Drosophila melanogaster: one gene and its partners. The protein of the gene in region 3 interacts with the protein of the main gene of each other region in a pairwise test. Each region holds a gene or a part of one and is shown on either strand. Other genes may lie near its edges. The genes, in order: GABPI, CG14210, dati and CG6576.

Evidence for each region.
Region 1: the proteins of dati (region 3) and GABPI interact in a two-hybrid assay, tested with the Drosophila melanogaster proteins (one large-scale study listed by BioGRID).
Region 2: the proteins of dati (region 3) and CG14210 interact in a two-hybrid assay, tested with the Drosophila melanogaster proteins (one large-scale study listed by BioGRID).
Region 4: the proteins of dati (region 3) and CG6576 interact in a two-hybrid assay, tested with the Drosophila melanogaster proteins (one large-scale study listed by BioGRID).

The regions. Positions count from the first base shown.
Region 1 is NT_033779.5:3,027,848-3,033,569, forward strand, and holds GABPI (beta4GalNAcTB pilot), read left to right. Parts: upstream 1-2,691; 5' UTR 2,692-2,912; coding exon 2,913-3,100; exon of another isoform or gene 3,101-3,152; coding exon 3,153-4,046; intron 4,047-4,106; coding exon 4,107-4,287; 3' UTR 4,288-4,453; downstream 4,454-5,722. Other genes in the region: Sf3b2 (splicing factor 3b subunit 2), read right to left, coding at 1-461, 519-1,159, 1,217-1,240; CG17219 (uncharacterized protein), read left to right, coding at 1,573-2,085, 2,138-2,548; CG17258 (uncharacterized protein), read right to left, coding at 4,489-4,639, 4,704-4,987, 5,048-5,284, 5,336-5,722.
Region 2 is NC_004354.4:19,613,359-19,618,119, forward strand, and holds CG14210 (uncharacterized protein), read left to right. Parts: upstream 1-2,837; 5' UTR 2,838-2,917; coding exon 2,918-3,048; intron 3,049-3,111; coding exon 3,112-3,403; 3' UTR 3,404-3,467; downstream 3,468-4,761. Other genes in the region: tyler, read left to right, coding at 555-574; shawn, read left to right, coding at 617-785, 855-1,024, 1,084-1,593, 1,666-1,747, 1,826-2,058; Pstk (phosphoseryl tRNA kinase), read right to left, coding at 3,552-4,430; Tim9b (translocase of inner membrane 9b), read right to left, coding at 4,593-4,761.
Region 3 is NC_004353.4:391,629-398,177, reverse strand, and holds the start of dati (datilografo), read left to right. Parts: upstream 1-2,572; 5' UTR 2,573-4,316; intron 4,317-4,767; exon of another isoform or gene 4,768-4,915; intron 4,916-6,549.
Region 4 is NT_037436.4:8,753,265-8,758,217, forward strand, and holds CG6576 (uncharacterized protein), read left to right. Parts: upstream 1-2,724; 5' UTR 2,725-2,918; coding exon 2,919-3,722; 3' UTR 3,723-3,903; downstream 3,904-4,953. Other genes in the region: Fhos (formin homology 2 domain containing), read left to right, coding at 1,211-1,231.

The DNA of each region.
Region 1 (5,722 bases), on a different chromosome or scaffold from region 3:
CGGGGAGATCGAACGGAGGCTTCTCAATACCCCTTTTGCCCTGCAGATATTTTCGCTTGAAGCACCAATGCCGCGGCACTTGTACTGTGTTCCTATAGGCTTTCAGTTGAACCAGTAGTTTGGGATCTCTCGCTGTGACATCGTGCATCTCCACTACGTCAGGTCGAGAGACCAGTTGTTTCAGTTCTGCCACACTCAAACGGGTCAGTTTCTTAAGTTTCCGCTTGGACAGCTTCTCCTTGTCTTCCTTGCGCTCTTCGTCATCATCGCCGTCATCGTCCTCGTCCTCGAGCTGTTTGTCTGTAGCCTTTTTGTCCCTGGGATGGGACTCAGAATCGTGCGAAGATTTGTCCTTCTCCACAGGCTTTGGTTTGTTTTCCAGCTTGAAGATTTCGAACACACGATAAAACTGGCGGTACATTGGCGCCAAATCGGCAATGGTTATCTTTTCGGGCACATATCTGAAAGGGATAAGAGTTTATTAGTGTGGTTCCTCGGAACGAGCTGCTATGACTTACTCAATGGTCACATTTTCATCATTGGCCTCGCCAGCCTTTTTGTCCGTATCTTTCTCATCACTACGATCCTTCCTGCGCTTGCTGCGACTCTCTTTGCGTTTGTCCTTCTTTTCCTTTTCGGCAACCTGTTCGTCCTCGCTGCCATGGGCTTTTGTCTCCGAGTCCTTGGCCTCCGGTTCGTTCTCCTCCGCTTGGGCCAACTGCTGCTGCCGTGCGAACTCAATCTGGTGGCGTATCTTCCTGTTCTGCTTCTTTCGCTTCTTCTTCTTTTTGTTACGCTCCGCCTTGCTCTGCTTGCCGGTCTTTTGGCTGGCACTCCCGTTCACCTGGTTATCCGCATCCTCCTCGCTGTCCTCGCCCACATCCGCTTCGTCGCCGTCCTGGGTAGCACCCCCACTGCCACCCTGCGAATCGGCGTCCACCGTGAACTCGGCTGCCCTTTGATCCTTCAAAGCCAGAACGTCCTCCAAGGCCTTGGGCAGGACCAGTTCTCCGGGCGTTTTTTCGGCATCAACAGCATCTTCGGAGGCATCGCCGTCGCCATTGGCATTACCATTGCCGTTCTCATTTCCATTGGCCGCCGCACTTTCGTGCTGCTGCTGGTCGAAGCGAATGGACATGAGCGGCGTGGGTTGGCCGGGCTGGAAGGATTGGCATTCAATAGATGTCTTGCCGATTGGGTTTCGCAGCAAACTCACCTCGTTGTTCAACTGGTCCGCCATAAATTAAATTAATCTTTAAAAACCCAAACCGAGCCGAAATTTTTTTATAAACCACAATTCTAGTGATGCGCGACAAGATATTTTTGTACCACCGAGACATATCGATATATTCGATATGAAAATGCGAGACCCTAAATCAAGCTGGCAACGCAAAGGACAGGGCGATCTTAGTACGAAAAGCGTGGTTTTTGCCGACAGCTGATTTAAGGAGGTAAATATTAAAATATTTCATAGATTACCAGTTTAACAATGCTAATTTGTCCATTTCAGTACGATATTTAACAAGCAGTATCTGCTAAAATCAAAACAGTTCAACACCCTACCTTCTAAGCATGTTCAAATTTAATTTTGATGTGAAGGCGGAATCCTCGGAAGATCCAGAGGCCGTTAAAAATGATATTTTTAGCAAGCAGGAAAATTCAGAAGAACGTGAGTCGGGTATCACAAAGGATATAGATTGGTACAATTCGGAGAAAGTACAACCACTGGATAACCTAATTTCGGCAATGGATTTCTATGAGCTTAACGCCAAGGAAATGGAGGTGGGAAAGATGACGATAAAACATCTTGTGGCCGGGTTTCTGCTGGAGGATTTAAAGGAGCAATCCCACTTGGTAAACCTGGATCTCAGGAAGTCTGAGGAAAATCATTCAGATCTGATTTCCGGTGTCTACGAGGGCGGTGCTAAAATATGGGAATGCACTGAAGATCTTCTACTATATCTATCCGAAAAGTACGAGGACTCATTCTGGAAGGAGAAAAGAGTCCTAGATTTGGGATGTGGCTGCGGATTGCTGGGTATATATGCTATGAAACACGGCGCACGGGTGGATTTTCAGGACTACGTAAGCAAACAATAAGTCTTGAAATAGTTTGGTTGCAATCATATATTTTCAGAACAAAGATGTGCTGGAATACATAACATATCCAAATATCCTGCTAAATTTGGACGACTCTTTATCTGAAGATGAAAAGCTGAAATTTTTAGACAACAGTACAACCTTATATTCTGGAGATTGGTCTCATTTTGCTGAACTATCAAGGGATGTGGCGAAATACGATCTAATACTTACCTCTGAGACTATATACAATATTGCAAATCAGCAAAAGCTCTTGGATACCTTTGCTGGTCGCTTAAAATCCGATGGAGTCATTTTGGTTGCCGCAAAATCTCATTATTTTGGAGTTGGTGGCGGCCTGGAACAGTTTTCAGAGAACATTAGGCTGGGAAATGTTTTCCAAAGTGAGAGTGTTTGGCAGGCAGACGAAAACTTAAAAAGAGGAATCTTGCAATTGAAATTTAAATAAAATATATTTTGGAATTATTTATAACACAATTCTTAAACTTTGTAATAATGATAAGAGATCTAAGTTCAAAACATAGCGGTAGCATAAAACAAGTTGGCAGCCCACTTTACACGGGGCACCCTGTAAGGGAGGGACGTTCGTCAGCTGTGTTGTTGTAGTTGTCGTTATTCCGGAGAAATTGTAAGCAAATTCGTTGTACTCCAATAAAACAATTAAAATGGACCCACCCGGATCTGATAATTACTTTTGAAACATTTCTCCACTCGGCCAGTAGGGCGTGCACTAATCTAATCTAAACTGTTTCCGTACACGCTGCTCGGAACTCATTAAAAAACGTTCGCCGCGCCATTTCCTGTCCAAATCGATGTTCTTGATGACAGCCGGCACCTCCAATTTTCTTTCTGCAGCCTGGAGATCAGAGGCTGAGGAGTCCAAGAGTAAGGAGAACGGGAGTCTCTGCTGCTGCGAGTACGTGGCTGAGGACAGTCGAGAGCGATCCCACATCCTAGGATGCTGTTGTAACTGCGTGGACTTCGACTTAGTTTGCACAAGGTAGGATACATAAATGAAAGGCCGTCTACAATTAAAATTAAATTTACCACAGACTTGTCACCTGCCGAGCCATTGATCGAAGGAACATCGACGGCATGCTCATCGCCTTCCAGGATAGACTGCGCTTGCCATGGCGCGGAGGAGCCAAGCGAATCTCGCCCGCAGCCGTTGCTCCCGCCTTCATTGTCCCCCTCATGCTGGGATTGGCCACTCTGAACTCAAAGACCGCCATAGTGCTGATGCTCACGCTGGTGGGCTTCACCATCTGGGGCATGGAGCTGGCTAAGCGGACCGCCACGCGGACAAACTTCTTTTTGAGCTGGCTGGTCTTCTCGGTGTTCTACATGATCATCATATTTGAGTTTCAGGTTCCTCTGCTGGAGCTGGCTCCGGAGGAGAACTACGCGTTAATGTTCTTCTCCTGTGCCGCTTTGTACTGCCTCTATTCCGCCAAGGCACTGTCGCCCTTGAATCTTGTTTCTGCTCAATACGGAACCACGCCCAAGGATGAGCTGCCTGGGATCGCCGAGGCTTCGAGTGGCGAGGAGCAGGCAGAGGCCCAGACCACACTCCAGATGGAGAGTGTGCTGAGTTTGGATGATGACGAGGTGGGGGATATGGACACTGCTGAGCGATCTGGCTTGATGCACGGTCAGCCCAATATCTGCGAGATCTGCCGGAAGGTTACTCCAAGGCGGGCATACCACTGTCCCGTCTGCGGAACCTGCGTGAAGAGGCGCGATCATCACAGCTACTGGCTAAACTGCTGCATTGGCGAGCGGAACTACGTGTGGTACATTGTTGGACTGGCCCTGTCGGAGATCGCTCTGCTGCTCGGCGCAAACTTGACCCTCACTTCCATTTGCCATCCGTTTATGGTGGTGCGACCGCTTGGTTATCCAGTTCTTTTGCCCGACGACTGCAGTGAGGTGTTCGAAGGCTTCGAGTGAGTAGATACTTTGTTTCTATTTCCAATTAACGTTTCTTATGCACACTCTGTTTCTAGCCTCGGAATCTCCTTTGTGGTGGCTTGCTACGCTCTGCTCATTTCTTCCTACATAGCCTTTATACTCGCTAGACAGGCTTACTTGTGGTGGAAGGGATCCACCTTGCACGAATACAAGCGCACCTCCAACGCCGCAGGACGCAACAGAATCTGGAGCAACTGGCGAGCCATCTTAAAGTGACTACTCACACACCAAAAAGCAAAAAGCACAAGCATGTCGCTTAGATACTAAAGTATTTCAAATCTTAACGCTGTTCTCGGTAGTCGTACTTAGTCGTACCGCTTTGAAGTCTTTATTGCAATTTAAAATTGATTTAAAATAAATATAATTAAGTAACTCAAAACGCACAACGAACAAGAGTAATAATGTTCTATCTAGTAGCTACCACAAGCTGTCCTCTCTCGGTTTGTAGTCAGGCAAGAGCTCCCATATTTTCATGCGCCACCGCTGGCGTCGCTCCTCCGTTTCCTTCTCGATCTTCAGGATTTGCGGCAAGCGTCGCCAGCAGTCCAGGACCTTCCATTTCAGGTGCCTATTAAATTGGTTCAATTGAAAATGATACATAATACAGTGAATTCTATTTTACAGGGACCTACCACTCATGGTGCGAGATGGCCTGCCGAGTCTTGCTGTCTTCAATCATCCGGCAGTGCGTGGAATACTTGTGCCACCGCGCAAACCAGTGTTCCATGGAGCGCAGTGCATGCCAATCGATCGCCACTAGCATCTTGCTCTTTTCATTCTGCACATACAAAATCCACGCATACAGAGCGCGCCGCTTGAGGATGTTGTGCCAACAGATCTCCGCCTTGATGATCTTCTCGCGCTGTCTGTATGTCGAATAGCTGTGCCACGAACTGAAGGAGTTCTTTGTGATCAACTGCCATTGGAATATGGAAGGATGTTAGTGAGGAAAAGCTACACCCATATGAAAGCTTACCCGGCAACGGAATTCCTCGCTCTTAACAAGATTCTCACGTTTCCGCTCCAGCAGTCGTTTGAAGCCTTCCATGCCCGTCCGTTTTAAAAGTTTGCGACTGAACTCCACGGCCTTCCGCTGGTTCTCAATAAAACGTTGACGCTCGCGCTCCTTTAGCACCTTTGCCATTTTCTCCTGGCGACGCTTCTCTTTAAGGACCTCCATTCTGAGCCGTTTGGCTTCCTCGTCCTCCTGGCGCTGTTTACAAGTTCAGGTAGATTAAAGCTTTAAATGAATGTAGTAACAAACCTTAGCCTCCTCTAGAGCTAGCTTGGCTGCCTCCCTTTCGGCTTCTGCCTGAGCCCTCCGCTGACGAGCCTGCTCATGACGCATGCTCCGCTCTGTGGCCCGCTCCTGCATGTGCTGCAGAAACCGTGGCTGGAGCAGGGCTTTGCCCTGCAGCCGGTCCATCTCCTCGTCATCCGCATCGCGCAGGTTGCCGATCAGCTGCAAGCACTTCGCCTTGGCTTTCGCCTTAGGATCCCCGCACCGGATGACCGTTTTGAGTTCCTGTTTCAGATCCTCGCGGGCCTCCTTGGCCTCGTCACTGAGCTTAGACAGCTTAAGCTGCATAATAAGTCGCTCTTGGCGCTCCAGCTTGATGCGCTGTAAGTCAATGATGTCCTGCTGCACTTT
Region 2 (4,761 bases), on a different chromosome or scaffold from region 3:
ACTTCAGTTGAGCGCATTCAATTGAATCAATTGAGTCCTAACTATGTAGTTCCCTACGCAACGCTTATTTGGTTTATATTTCGTTGACTAAACTATCACTATTTCTTGTAAATCATTTGTATTTCTATGGCTTTATTTAACAAACTAAAGTTTACTAATTAACGTAACGTTAGTATGTGCAACTTAAAAATATCTTACATTTCATGCGAAGGCTAAAGATAGTTGCAAATTGAGTAAAAAGAATATGATGGTAAATATACTTTTGAATTCAAGCGAACAACAAGAACGATTTTCGATAGCACCGCGATAGCATTTCCGTTCCGACTTCACTGTCGATAGCGCCCAGCGGCAACAGCTGATCGTCGTGGAATGGAATGGAAATGGTACAACTCGGATGAGCACTGAGCACGGTGTTTTCTTTTGGGATCCGTAAATTATTTCACAATGATCGGAGAGCTTGACTAATAGCACAGCTCTGAACATCGTCAACAAACACGCCGTAGCACACGATTCGCCTTCTCATCTCATCTCACATCACCGTTTGCCGCCACCAGCTTACCGGCGCTCCCAGTGAAGCAACCGCCAATCGCGTGGAAGAGGAGCAAGTGCATCTGTCATGGCTACGAGGGAGGCCTGCGGCCAGTTTGCTGCTGCCAGTGCGGCAATGGCGGCTGCTTCCAGTCAAAATCCGTCGAAGGCCACGATGACGGACCCCCGTTTTCGGATCCGACCCCTGCAGCAAGTGGCATCCGCCTGTACCGGCGCCATGGTGACGGCCTGCTTTAGTATGTTGCCCGCCACACAGCGTCGAATGGCGTAGTGTCAGTGCTTGACTGATAGGTTTACCATTGCAGTGACCCCTCTGGATGTGATCAAGACCCGCTTGCAGGCACAGCAGCAGGCGCTGCTCTCAAACAAGTGTTTCCTCTACTGCAACGGCCTCATGGACCACATCTGCCCCTGCGGCCCGGACACGCCCAACCCAGCAGCCGCCAAGCCCGCTCCCCGTTTTTCTGGCACCATTGTAAGTGGTAAGCGTTGGGAAAACCGGGACACTTAATACTTAACCCAGCCTCTCTCCAGGACGCATTCATCAAAATCAGCCGCACTGAGGGCATCGGCTCCCTGTGGTCGGGGCTCAGCCCAACGCTAATCTCGGCCCTGCCCTCGACCATCATATACTTCGTGGCTTATGAGCAGTTCAAGGCCCGTTTCACCGATATCCACTACAAATACACGCGACGCCCGGATACCATTGCCCACGACATTCCACACCCGATTCCATTTCTGGTGCCGCTGCTGGCCGGCGTGTCGGGCCGCATTCTGGCCGTAACCTGTGTAAGTCCCGTCGAGCTAATCCGCACCAAGATGCAATCGCAGCGCATGACGCACGCCGAGATGTTTGGCACCATTCGCCAAGTGGTGCAGTCGCAGGGCGTGCTGGGCTTGTGGCGCGGTCTGCCGCCAACCATCCTGCGCGACGTGCCCTTCTCCGGCATCTACTGGACCTGCTACGAGTACCTCAAGAGCTCCTTTGGCGTTGTGGAGCCAACGTTTAGCTTCAGCTTTGCGGCGGGAGCGATATCCGGATCGGTAAGACTAAGACAACTGCGCTACAAATCAATTGTGTCGACTGTCGGTAACCCCTCATGTTTCCCCTTCCAGGTGGCCGCCACCATCACCACGCCCTTCGATGTGGTGAAAACGCACGAGCAGATCGAATTCGGCGAGAAGTTCATATTCTCAGGTAGGCCCAATGTGGTTCAGCTTGCTGCAACCAACTCCCGTAGCAGCATTGACAATGGTTCGGTTTGCATTACGGCAGATAATCCACCCAAGCAAGTGGCCACCAAGTCGGTGGCGATGCGCCTGGCCAGCATTTACCGCATGGGCGGTGTGCCCGCCATTTTCTCTGGACTGGGGCCCCGACTCTTCAAGGTAGCGCCCGCATGTGCGATAATGATTTCGTCCTTCGAGTACGGCAAGTCATTCTTCTATCACTACAACATCGACCAGCACAATCGGAGCAATCAGGCGACAAAGGGGCCCGGCTCCTGAACGCGCTCCCAATGCGGTGACCACAGCATGTCGACGTGAATCTTTGTACATATGTAGATTAATGCCAAAGTTGCCAGGAAATCGGTGGGCAGGTGGGAAATCGTCTGCTGCTGGGTTTGGCGAGCCCCATTCGAAATTGTTAAATTGTAGTGAAATAAAATTCTTGTTTTTCTTGGTTCGAAAACAAACATGAGCTTACTTATCAACTTTGCTTTTGAGCTTCGAATTCTAATAATCTGTATTTGATTTCAACAAATTTACGACGCACATTAAACAATATTGTGTACTTTGTTCCTAGTTTAACGAAATATTTAATTTTTGCTATTGGAAAATCAAAACGATGTTGTTACAATAAAATCGCAAAATAAGCAATGTAACTGTTTGTTGGAGAAAATAATAATTCCTATTAAAACCGAAATAGGGAACATGTGAAAAGATAATACTATCTATAAGTTTACACATTTCGTTTCTGTGTATGCCGTAGAATTTACCTTCGACTCACAAGATAAGATGTAGTTTTACACATCTTTATAGTCAAGTGGCAAGGGTAGATAGGTTGGGGTAAGGACGATTAGAGTGTTAAACAAATGTTTTCCTAGTCATAGAAAATACATATATTTGAAATCATAAAAGACGAGCTTTTATCTTCGGTTAGCAACACTCGTGTGCACCAAAGCATTTGAAACGTTTATGAAATGGCGCCCAATGACTTGTAATCGAAAGCAACACCCCGATCACCGATGGCTTTCACAAACATATGTTGCGTGCTATCGATAGACGGTGGAAACAACACGTGCACTCGTGTTTTGTATTTGTGTTGTTTGCATTTGATTTCATATTAGACTAAACCGAACGCAAAATGAGTGAATCCGCACCGGAAACTGTGCCAGCCAAGAAGCCGGCAAAGGCCAAGAAGGCGGCAAAGCCGGAGAACAGCATACCACGCGGCCAGCCCAAGTCGAACCGGCCGTGGAAGACGCCCAAGCAGAAGTAAGTGGTGTTTCTCCATTGTGCATTGTGCATTGTCATCTAATCAATTGGCTTCGCCTGCAGATTTAGCAAGATTAAGAAGACCGTTAACCGACTGTCCTTCGAAAAGAAGACGGCCCTGCGCGACGAGCTGCGCTACATCAAGGAGCGCTCCAAGGAGATCAAGGACAAGCGCAAGGAGGATGCCGTCCAAAAGCACCAGCGCCGCGTGGAGAATGCCGAGCGCCGGCTGGCGAACGAGCGCCGCTCGGAGGTCGTCCAGGTCATCAAGAATCCCGCCAAGCTGAAGCGCATGAAGAAGAAACAGATGCGCATGATCGAGAAGCGGGACGTCAGCCAGGTGAAGGTGGTCTGAGGTGGCTCCATTAGATTAACTTGTATTTTTTGATAAATAAATCTAGTTTTAATGCCAAGAAAGCGTTTTGTAACACATATGTATGTATGTATTTAGGTCGCTACGTACACAATTGTGTGGCATACAAACGAATTTAGCTTATCTTAGCCTAGTTTAACAAATTTACATAGTAATCCAAGGCGTCGCCCTCAACATCGCCGTCTATCTGTTTGCCGCCGATCTCTGTGCGGAATTTGGTCAATATATCCTTGCGCCTACTGTTCAGTGTTTGGCCCGCCAAGCGCTTGTCCTCCCCTTGTCTCAGTCCATCGAGCAACGCCCCAATGCGCGTCCGCAGGAGCAAATCCAGGCGGTGCACCAGAGACTGATCTTGTCGTAGTCCTCTTGCTACCGCCGGTGGCAAGTCCAACGTCGTCTCCATTGCGGGCAAATCGAGCAGAGATGCAATAAAAGCAAGCAACGCAGATCCCGTGGTATCCATATCGAGGCCATTAAGTGTGAGACTGTTGCGTTCCCAGGCTTCCGAAGTGTCTGGCACCTCTAGACGCTCGTTCATCTGCCGCACCACGTCCACCGGCACTCGAGTGGCATCGCTCCTAAGTGAGTTTGCCTGCAGACAGGAGTCCAGCGAACTGGCCATGTATATCTGTCCGAAGATGCAGCCAGAGTCTCGACACAGCTGGTAGAGCTTGTAGCGCATGCTGCGGTAATAGAAGTTATCGTCGCACAGGATCAGATGCCTTCCGCTGTTGTAGTCGCCGCTGGAGGAAATGCGGCGGACTTGAGGCGGCCAATCGGTGTCTTCTTGAATGGCGGAAATGAGTTTTTCAATTACTTTAAAAATGCGGCCGCGCTGCTCCTTGTAGGCCAGGTCGGCCGAGGGGGTAGCGTCGAGGAAGTCGTCGTAGCACAGATGAACGATGTGGCGGACGCGGAGGGCAGCCTGTTGACCCAGCAGCCAGGAGCACAGCGAGGATTTGCCGGCTGCTGGCAGGCCGATAAGTGCAACAAGACAAATGCGCCGCATCGCGTGTGGTTGGTTGGTTCGTTTTTTTTTTTTTTTTGTTTTGGGGTTGTTTGTAGGAAGAGTACGTGTGGTCGCCGACTGCGGGTGTGGAGGGCGGTCTGGACTCTGCGATTAGCTATCTAGGATCGAGAACAGCAGCTGCGGCGTTGCATGCCACTGCTGCTACATGGACAGATTGCCGGCGACAGGCGGCTGGACAGGTGTAAGTACTGCCGTGGCGGCCGCCTCTTTCAGTCGCTCCTTCTCTTGCTCCCTCTGCTGCTGCTCGGCCTTGCGGGCGTTCTCCTCCATTTCCTCCATGCGCTTGGCGTTGATTGTGGTCTGCACATCC
Region 3 (6,549 bases):
TTTAAAACCATTCGGATCTATATTTGTACCATATACATGTATAAGCCCTAATTGGCATACGTACATAGGCAAGAATAGAGATGGGAAGGATGCGCGCAATGTGAATATGCTTATTAATTTATAAGTATTATTCGTGCAGGCTCGCCACAGTCATGGAGTGGAAGTGCTGCCTTATGACCGTTCGCCCACAAATACCGAACCCGCACCAATTATGAGTTTACCATGCATGTGCACACAAAACACACACTCAACATGCAACACATACATATGCTAAAGTGCATTTGGTACACTCAGTATACAGTTTCTAAAGTAAAGATACATAGGCCTGCATTATATTATACCCTAAAAACTTTTGGCTCGAGACCGCTACTTTTATTAAGATAACTTAGTACTGCTAAGTTAGACTATGCCAAGAAAGAAAAGTATTAGTGGTCCGAAGGTCGGCTTATCTCTTTTGCATTGCACTGCTGGACATCTTGAAAAACTAGCCATCATTTTTATATTTGCTTGAGAGTTAGGATGCTAAAAGGAAAGCTAAAAGTGTTTCCGTACTATCAGGACAGTTTGAGGTAAGCGTGACCGGGTTTGACGTGCGTAATTGAGCCAACCTAACAACACGTTTTCTGAGCACAAGTTCTCAGCTTAACCAATTGAGTCAAGTGAGTTTGAACATTTGGTATGCTCGGTCTGTCCTTGTATTTAGCTGTACACTGTAAGCCCATTTTTAAGACCGCGGGACCCTAGGTTTTGCCTAAAGCTCATGCGTAGCTGTCGACCGATTGAACCTTAGATTATGTAGATATGTATGCGGATTGACTAGTTGTATTTAGACTGACTTGATAGAATTTCGGGTTTATGATCTCTTTTATGAGATGATGTGAATGCGACTTCATGGTAGCCTTGTCTACTATCTCACCAAAAGGCGTCAAAGTCCTCTTCGATCACTATCCAAGATAGCAGCCAAATACCAAAAGATACTATGTACTATACTATAAGGTATTTATCAATCATGTACGACTGCTGTAAAATATATCTATGGGAATAGCACATAATTTTCAACAAAAAAATAGTGGGTTTCCTGTAATTTTTTTTTACTGAGCATGTGTATACTTTTAAAACAATATTCAAATTTGCAAGAAGATATTTATGTACATACATATACCCTAGGTATCCGCTTTTTTCCACGCCACGAATTGTTGCGAATGCATGCATGTATGTGTGTACATAAATAAATATAATATTAAAGAAAATCGATAGAGGTCGATTCCCACAGACCAAAGCACAGACCAAAATCGATTGAGCAGCAGAGGTGGCGGCTAACGTTACCTAAATATGTACATATGTATATGCTGCAGCATACACGGCTGCACATTCATTTTGAAAAGGTAGGGTTCAATAGTGTTTTCCGGATGCCTATGTGCTTTGCGAGCCGCCCACTTGATTGTGTACGTGTTTGTACATAAGAACTTCACATAAGCATTAAAATGCATACTGCCGCACCGTGACGAAGACCAGAAATGCAGCCATATCGCACATACATGCACAAGTGCAGCGCAAAACTCGAGCTAGACAGAAACAGTTGGCTGGCTGTCCGGCGGCGGAAGGGAGATGGCTGAACGTGGACAGAAACAGGAGCTGGGCAGGGGTAGTAACAGGGCCAGGAGGTGCCAGAGAGGCCTTGAAGTAGACATTAAATCATGCACAAATTTGCATTCCACCGACCAGAACGGACTGTGCTGTGGTTGCAGCAAGACAGCAGGGAGGAGGTCGGTTTGCTGGGTGGTTGCAGTGGTCATCACGCTGCAACGCTGCCATAAGGGATGTTACTGCGGAAGTGCAGCGCTGACGGGACCCGACGACCAACGACGAGTGCAACAGCCCCCCTCCGCCTGCTTGTTTGAGAGTTATCAGTTGGAGAGGGCGGCGTAGGGGATGATGCAACGAAAACGCATATGAAAGCGGCATGGGCCAGACATACATATATGTTGTACACTGTACGCACACAGACTCACGTGGAGTGAATGGGCGCTGGGCAACAATAGCATGCAGCTTAATACACTTGAAAAAAAGACCAGAAAGCCATATCCCGCGCCTTAGACGGAGAAGGGAACGGGCAGGGCTAGACAGAGACTAGAGGCCTCATCAGGTCATCCCTACAAGGTGTAATTGAGGAGCAATAAGAATATCAATAAGCTCTCCGAGCTTAAGAATTGTAATTCAGGAATTGGTGCTTTATTGAAATTTTTTTATTCAATTTTTTTTTGAGTGTAGAGCTGCAACTGCAAATGCTGAAACAACTGCCACTGCAACTGCAGTTACCAACAGCGCCGGCGCTGGCACAGGTTCCCTGTCCGAGTGCAAGGATCTGAATCCACATCCGCCGCTTTCGCTGTTGTTGTCGCTCCCGCTGCTGTCACTTTTTGTTTAACACACAATTTTTATCTTATAATAAGCACACCGCTGCTGCCAGCTATTTCCCCAATTCGGCACCCGGCTGTCTCCATCCCAGTCTCCAGCTTGGGAAGCAACGTATGCCGAGGCGATGATTTTTATTCTCAATTATTTTGGATGCGGCATTCAGAAACGCAATATTCCATGGAGTAGAACAACCGACTGCGGATCGTCCTGACCTCGCGGATCATTTTTATTTTATCAAATGTGCTTAAACCAGATATAAAATGATTGTGGACTGTGCTAAAAACTAAAAACTAACCAAATAATAGAGTTGTTTGATAAAAAAAAAAAAACAAAGCACAAATGAATTGCTTGGCAATGCTTACTTGGACGATTTCATTTGTGTTTTACTGAATTCAGATGAAAATATGAAAACAATATTTCTTTTAATTTAATTTCAGATCATCATAATTTTAACAAACACAATAGACCAAAAATCGTTTTTAACAATAAAGAAGAATCCGTAACTAAACGATCAAATCGACAAACCTAACTCAACCCAGCCATCTTTCAGTTTTAAACGCAATAGAACAGATGCATTAATTAACTAAGTTTTCTACACCTATTACCAAAAAGGAAGAACCACATCAACATTAACTTCATCACCAATCCGAAAAATAACATCTAAACCAATATAACCTAACATAAAAACAGACCAACGAGAAAACCCATTTAAAAATTACTTTTTAGACAAATGAAAAATATAATTTACAACAAAATTGAAATCAAAAGTACAAAACGACATTAATGAATGCGCAAAAGAATTATAAATTTAATACAATATAAAACTGTATGTTTTAGTAACGATTACGTGAAGATTTAAGTCCAAACTAGGCTACTAATCGAAAATATGATTACGTGAAGATTTAAGTCCAAACTAGGCTACTAATCGAAAATATGATTTATATGATTTACACAAATGTGTACATAACCATATAGTCATTTAAATTGCATATATAGTCTCTTAATACTAATTTAAACAGTATATAATAAAACATTTAGATTTTCTACAGCTACAAAATACACTCCCTGAATGATTACCGAAGACACACTGACACCGGAACAGACAGTTTGAACTATCACATACCCTACAGCTAGCCCTAGCATAACCATACGTAACTATACACCAAGTCGCTTATTATTTTTTAATGATAAGAGCAATACTCAAAAAATAATAGTATAGATACATGATTAAGCGTGAAGAGATAGTGGTTATTATAGTAAACAGTACGTAAAATAGTATATAAAATTAAAGATATTGCTACTATAAATAATCAAAATATCATTCTTCGGTAATATAATGGACGATATTTTAAACTAAATATTCGTTTAAGTTACAAATGTGAACCTCGAATTATTTTAAAATTGGAATATATCATATTATATTTTTATATGTATATTAAATTATGAGACGTCACAATGCGTACATATGTAGGTATTTCCGAACAATACAAATCTGGGCATCAAAATAGTAGATCGTATCGGGTAACAAATTGTGATTCAAACGTTTACAAAATTTTTAAATTTATATGTAAACAAATTCAAATAGAAACTGCATCAATCTAACTCCATGTTTTGGGATAAATAGGCGATAAATGAATTTTATAACCAATATATCGCGACACCGTAACGTGTGCCTTATTCCGGCCTTAAGTTTAAATGACTTTTAATAATACATCAAAAACCTAATTCAAGTATATATTAAGCCCACGGACATTCAACTGCAAAGCCGTCGCACGTAAAAAGTCAATAGGATATAGGATTTTCTAATATAGGACCATTACCTGATTGGTATGCCGCCCATCACCTGCGACGTAACCGTCATCGTACTGTAATCGCCTGAGAATATGTTTGTTTTCAAGGTAATTATTGATCCTAACTTCCATGTTAATATCGAATCCCTACAGTCACAATGGCGATCATACCTTATATACACACATATATAAACATATGCGTGCATATATATACATACGTGTAACAAGAACAAAGTTTCCGTTTTCCGGCTTGACCGTTATTCCGAGGTGGCACGATTTGGCAACTAAGAGCCATTCCAAAGAGAGCATTATTATCCGCTGAGCAAAGATGCTGTTTCTTGGTAAACCCGAAGACGGGACGAAGATATTTTGCCGAAGGCCTTAGAGCTGAGTCCTGAAACGAAGACGTTTGGCTTACTTTGCGCCAGCGACGATGGCGACAGCGATGACTCGACTTCAGGCCGACTCCACTTTGCGTGCAAGTTCTATTTCTAAACGAGACGTGTCTGAACCCCCAGCAACAGTCATATTTATACTTGTCCGAGGCGGCGGCCAAATTAGTTTTTCTATGACTCGCGGGCCGCCAGGTTATCTGTAGTTGTTTGCTGGGAGCGACTTCCAAGTCTCAGCCGTAATCGTAACCGTAATCGAGGCCGTGCATATAGACAGTCACTGTATTCTTCCAACAAAAAAAACCTCGTAAAGAGGTAAAAGCAACCGAAATACGCACCAAACCACCAATTATACAAATGGCAGCAAGATAACATTTCGCTCCTTTTCGAACACTTGCATACGCGACACATTGCTTATTATTGGTTTTATTCACAAATTTTGGTTTTTTTATGCTTTGAACTTTAGTTTCTTTTCTTTAAAAAGTGATTAAAACAGTTTGGTGACTATGTTCCATCCCCAATAATAACAAACAATTTATAAGTGTCCATGTGCGACGCTAGGATATTCAAGAATAAGTTTCCTAATTGACCTGTGTGTTTTATTTATTTCGACGCAACTACGTCTACGAGGAAATATATTAATTTTTCAAAACCGATGCCAACATATATGTGGCTTGGTAACTTAAGTCGTCCAGAAACTGGCTTATACAAGAAACCGTATTCTTATATATTAAGGCTCTACCTTCGATTGCTTTTAAATCAAATTGTCTATAAATTGAATCAGAAACGTTAAATTCTGGGACAAAAGCAATTTTGGTAGACTGACTTTTTTAAACAGAATGACCGATATATTAGCTATGGTGTTTATATATATATTTTAAATATATATCTTAAGAGACGTATGCGTATCTCACGTTTTTAATATATACAAAATACGGAAGTAATTTAATAATTCTTAATTTGATTTATTAATCGAAAGAATACGTGTAAAAAAAAGTTAGATCATTATACACTTTTTTACTTCATGGTTTTACTTCCATGGTTTGGCTTAAAAAAAAAGCACTCCAATTTTATATCCATTATTTTAGAGGAAATCATCCTGAGGCACTAGAGAAATGTTGTTATTTCTTAATGATTTAATTGATAGGTATACTGCTTCAAAAAAGCTAAAGAAATTTTTGGAGAAAGCCTTCCGGATGTAACTGGCGCCAAAGCAGTCTTTTCTTGTCCGAAAACTTTAAACAACATTTTCTTAAAAACCACGATTTTCAAAATTATGTAAGTTATAATAAACAATCTAGTAAGCCAATTTTCATCATCTAGCATTCATTTTAAAGAGCATAAACATTTTTCAAAAAAATTTTTGTCAGTAATTGGCAGGGTTACTTTTGGAATTTTGCAAACATTTCTGCTCATTGACAATAAAAAACCCGAGTAAGAAAAGAAAAAAAGTTTGTTGAATTCAGACTAAAATTTCAAAACTTTTGTTAAAACGTTTTTTTATTACCTCTGCCATGACTATCGTAGAGTAAAAAGGGTTAAGCATTTCCGACCATATAAAGTATAAATACTCTTGATCAGAATCAATAGCCGAGTCGAACTGGCCATGTCCGCCTCAACCTATGAGGATTGAAACAAGCATTCATTCTGAATACATAGACGCAGCGCAAGTTTGTTGACTCATATTGTCACACTCACTCTAACGCCCACAAAGCGCCTTAACCTGCCACGGACACCTTTTTGAAATTCGAAATATTTCGTTATCTTTTCATATTTTTATTAGTTTTGTAAATTTATATCGAGTTGCAAAAAAAACTATTCCACGCCAACTATAACTCCCACAAACCGCCCAAAAATGCCACACCCACTCTTTTAAGAAATGATTCAATTTTGTTGGATTAAATAAGTCGTTTTCCTTATTTCAATCTATATGCCGAAAACATATTGAC
Region 4 (4,953 bases), on a different chromosome or scaffold from region 3:
AGAAAAATGCTTGTCCGTTCAAGAGAGAATCGGAATGAATTGTCCGTACAAAGGATCTGTCGAAATCCTTAAAGTTATGCTGGAACTAATAATGATACCCTCATTCAGGGTATGTTTAAAACATTTATTTGTTTCTCGATTGCAATTTACGAATGCGATCGCCGACTGAGGAGAGCCGGCAGAATCTCCGAGAGCTTCATCTCCGATCGAATCTCTCGCTTGCCGAAAATACACGCATACTCAAAGCGAGAGCGCCGGAGATTTTCCTCCACTCAGCTTTTCACGCAATTCGGTGCGAGGGAAAATCTCGGCACAAAAATATTTTCACTGCGGCCAGACAGTTTTCCTTTGACAACGCGCCGAGTCGCACATGATTTTCCTCTCGGCCGGATTCGCTGTGGTCCAACAAAAAGAACCGAGAACTAAAAACAAAAATCGCGACACAATCTTTCAGCGAGTGTGTGAATGTTGCTAAATTTATAAATAACAGCTTAAGTTGTGCTGCTCCCAAAGTAAATTGAAATAAAAGCAAAAGTGATACGCGTCCGTCGTCGTGAAACGGAAAACGCAGGCGATGGAAAATGGGAAAATAGGAAAAAATAAGAAAAATAAGAAAAATATCAACGCATAAATAAAGCGCGAGCCTCGCGTCCGATTCTGTCGCATTCGCCGGCTGCATTCCCAAATAGATCGGGGCGCTATAGTCTATATCTGCTCGTATGCCCTATAGGCATCGACAGTATATATCCCAAACCTGCCCGGTGCGTGCCGGTGGATTATGTAAAGTGACACACGGCCGATCCCGATACCGATCTCGGAGTATCGCCCAGCGCAAATAAAAGCAAAGGAAATAATAGTTTACTTAGCAGAAAAGAAATAAATACAATAAAATAAAATTGAATAAAATAGGGGAATGCAGAGAGAGTGTCGTAGAAATTTGTCGCACGCGCGCGATTTCAGTAAGTGCATCTAATTTATTTTGCATCTATTGCAATTGAGAGTCGGCATCCGGCAGATACGTTTTCGTAATTGTCGTCAGCGGTTCGAGTTCCTCCGTTTCGATCTCGCGCGAGTGTTTGCCAGATTGGATTACCAAACCCAGGCCATACCAAAATAAATTATACACCAATTTTGAAAGGGCGATAAACATACATTGTGACCGAATTTTGATCCGATCTGCGATCGAGGATCGCTTGCCAAGAGCAACGTAATGTCGTCCTACCGCAGTTATGTAAGTACTAGTTAATGCAGCGCCAACTATCCGTATCTGTATCTGCATAATACCTACTCGTACTATATAGTGTGTATCTCGATCTTTGTATCTTCGCTCTGTGCCTTTTTGCAATTCTTCGCATCCACGGATTTTGTTTATTTCTAATTTGTTGCCTTACCCCACACACAAGAGTATTTCGCAGATACATACGTATACGTTTTATATGGCAGATAAAATGTATCTGAATGTTCGCTCTCGATGTGGTGTGGGCTCCAGATCCATTGATAAACAATTTAGATACAAATTTGCTCATTGTCTGGTTTTTTGGTTGGGATTTGTGTCTAGTTGATTGTTCTAATTTCCTATCCACACAAATAGCACAAATTATGGCCGAGGTGTGGCTACTGAATGAACGAATTGTTGTGTTTGAATAGCAAACCAATGCATGAATAAATGGCTTTTACTTTGGCAAAGCAGGTTAAGTTCCGAATTTTAAACCTATTTAACTTGATTTATGTTAGTATTTGCGTATATGCACAGTTGTCAAAGGAATTAATTTTGAGTTATTTGACATACTTTATGGCAGATTCATTATTGATACTGACCAATGACTGACAGTTCCCAAGTAAACATTTTGTGTTATTTATTGAACTTATCATCATATTTATTTATATTATTAACCCGTTCGACATCATGTGATACTTGTGAACTTTTATATAAAAAGTGCATTATTTCTATATCTATCCTATAATATAAATACACTTAATTTCGGTTGTCATTCCCAAACTTCCAAATCGCTTTCTACTAATCCCCTTTATGTTCAACTCATTATATCCTTTTGTTCCCAGGCATCCAGTTTATGACTTTAGCCTGACTTTTGACTCATTGAGCATAAATCAATTAAATATTTTTCGGGTCTTAGAATCTAATAAACTGATCAATTTATGGGCGGCAAACAACAAGTTTCCACCCCATCCCACGCACATCTACCACTTCATCTTCTCCCGAGTCATTTCTCCAATTATATATAGAATGTTTCTAAAAATGTTGGGAGTAAAGCAAAATGATTTCTGTTTCGTTCACGTTGACGCAGTCTCTTTTTTCCTCATTGGAGTTGGTACTTTGTGTAGGATTTTTATGGCCAGAAGGAAGTTGTAAATATTTATGACAAGCATAAAGTTGAAAGTTCTCCGGTGAGAGCACGCACCACCTAATTAATTAACAAAGTGTGAATACTCATGCAATTTGTTTGTGAGGGGAGAAAGTAGGGGAACGGTAATGGAGAAACAATAAAGTTGCAAATATAACTAAAGCTTTTAACTTCATATTCAAAAAAAATAAGTATATATTATCATATAACTAAATTTATATTCATAATGTATTAGCGAAAGCGGTAATGATTAAACATTGTTTCGATTATTGATTTCATTAGAAATATCTCTACTCGTCACACACAATGCGATCACAATCAGTTTTCATTTGAATTATTCATCAAAACAGATCAAAATTTGTTGTAGTGTAGCACAAAGGAAGGCGGTGATAGGCGCTTCTCAAATAGGCTTCGAGATAAGGATTTATGAATCAAGCTATCTGAGTCCGAGATTATCCACGCACACTCACCCGTCCACCCAACTGCCACCCAAGCCCCCCACAACACTCGAACACAGACACAAGTCAAGGACATTTTTTGATAAAAAGATAAAAAATGACACGGCGTCGACGTCCACGATGTAAGGTGAATCCCTCGATAGCGCTGAGAAAGAAGAAACAGGAGACTGCACCCAGTGCAGAAAAGGTAGAGCCACAACGTCCACCGCCCTTGCCGGATCCGCCCAGCGAAGAGCCACCGGAAGTCGTCAGCACTTCGAGCGTAGAATCTGAAATCGAATCGGATTACAAACTCTTCCCGGAACTCTACGATCGCCAGCCGTCGATGCCCACGTTTGCTGATCTTTTTGGTCAGCCCTCTTATGAATCAGTGTTGCAGGAGCCCGAGGTGGCATCTACCTCCTCCTCAACGAACACAAATGCCGCGGGAATACGTAGTACAGACGATGGGAAATTCACTAATATTCCGGCCACGATGCTGTCAGATCAATTTGGGATCATTGGGCTGCTGGCCGCCATGAGGACTACGCAAACGGATCCGGGCGCCACGCAGCTGGTCTTTGGTGAGGATCTAACCACCTACGGACTAGATTTGGCTGCCCAGGGAGACATTTATGTGCATTTCAATGGGCCTCTAACCCGCGAACCACCTGACAGAAATTCCATGGACTGCGCCCTTGAGATGGGAATGCGTGCCATGCGTGATTCGATTATCAATGAACCACCGAAGGCTCCGTGTTGGGATCCATTTGAGCCAGAGACCCAAGATCTGGGACTTGTGGGCAGTCTTGAACCGGATGAGTTTACGAAATCCGATCCAGATACGGAAACGGATCCACCGCCAACTACTGATTTGACTGAAGATCCGGAAACGGATCGAGATGATAATCAGTATAGATAACACATTTGGAATCGGCGCCAAGGATAAAAAAGAAAGACTAGTCCCAAATAGAATAGCAATTTGGCAGTTGGTTAGATCTTTGAATACTTGGTAAAATTGTTGATCTTCGTGAATTGGTAGCCCTTCTGTATAAGAACTTGTTTGGCTTTAAATATAGAATTGGCTGAGGAGTAAAAACGGGAATAATTATTTGTTACGAAAAAAAGTGCGATTTAGTTATTTAAAATAAGGTTCGATTTAGTACATATATGTAAATATCGAAAAAAATTAATAAACATTCGGAAAATATCGAAAATGAATAAGCTCGGAATTGATTATAACTCATAAATTGGTTATAATCACTATAATTTTCAGATTAACTAATTTAATTTGTTTGGAAATTTATGTTTGAACGACTTTCTGGGGTTGAATATTTCATTATCCTTTTAAGCGCCGATCTCCACATAGTTGAGTTTCCCGAAACGCATTTTCGACACTTTCGTCAGAGCAAACTACAATAGAAAACGTATTTAAAAATAAATCATTTGTCTGGCAAGCGAATATTCAGTCGCCACTTCGAATCATCTGGGGTCACAGTCTAAATACTTTGTGAGTGGATGGCTTTCCTGGTCGTTCTTAATGGGCTGTGGCTACTGACAGACAGGCGCATTATAGCGCATCCTGCTCCTGATCTGCAGACTCCGAGATTCTGCAATCTCCTAATTGAGACCGCATAATAATGCTGTCAGAAGTGCAGCACTCCGCTGGAATCGGCGGTGAACAAAGTACACATGGCGAAGTCATTCCAGAGAAGATCCATAGGCCCATCCACATCCACACCATCACGATCCTCCACTCTTTTTCTCCTCCGGCTGAGTGTCTCCGTTTGCTTGTTTTGCACATTGTTGGCTATTTGTGTGTTTGGCATTCCATTTCACTGAGCGAAAACAATTAGCCGAGACTGTCTGTCTTTCTTTCTTCCTCACTCCCTCTCGCTCGCTCGCCAATTCTTCACATTGGGCGGGCGCCTGGAAATGTAATAATATTATTTTTTATTCCCGGATAGTTGTCATTCGCCGGGATGGGAGCCACTTGGGAAGAGCCCCCTATTTGAAGTGATTTACATCGAGAAATTCCTGAAAAGTATTTTCATGGGCGAATTCCACTACAGTCATGGTAGTTCATATAGGGCTAAGCTAAGTGGGATTCGATTAAGTTTCATCAATGAATACACAATAATTTATAATTTAGT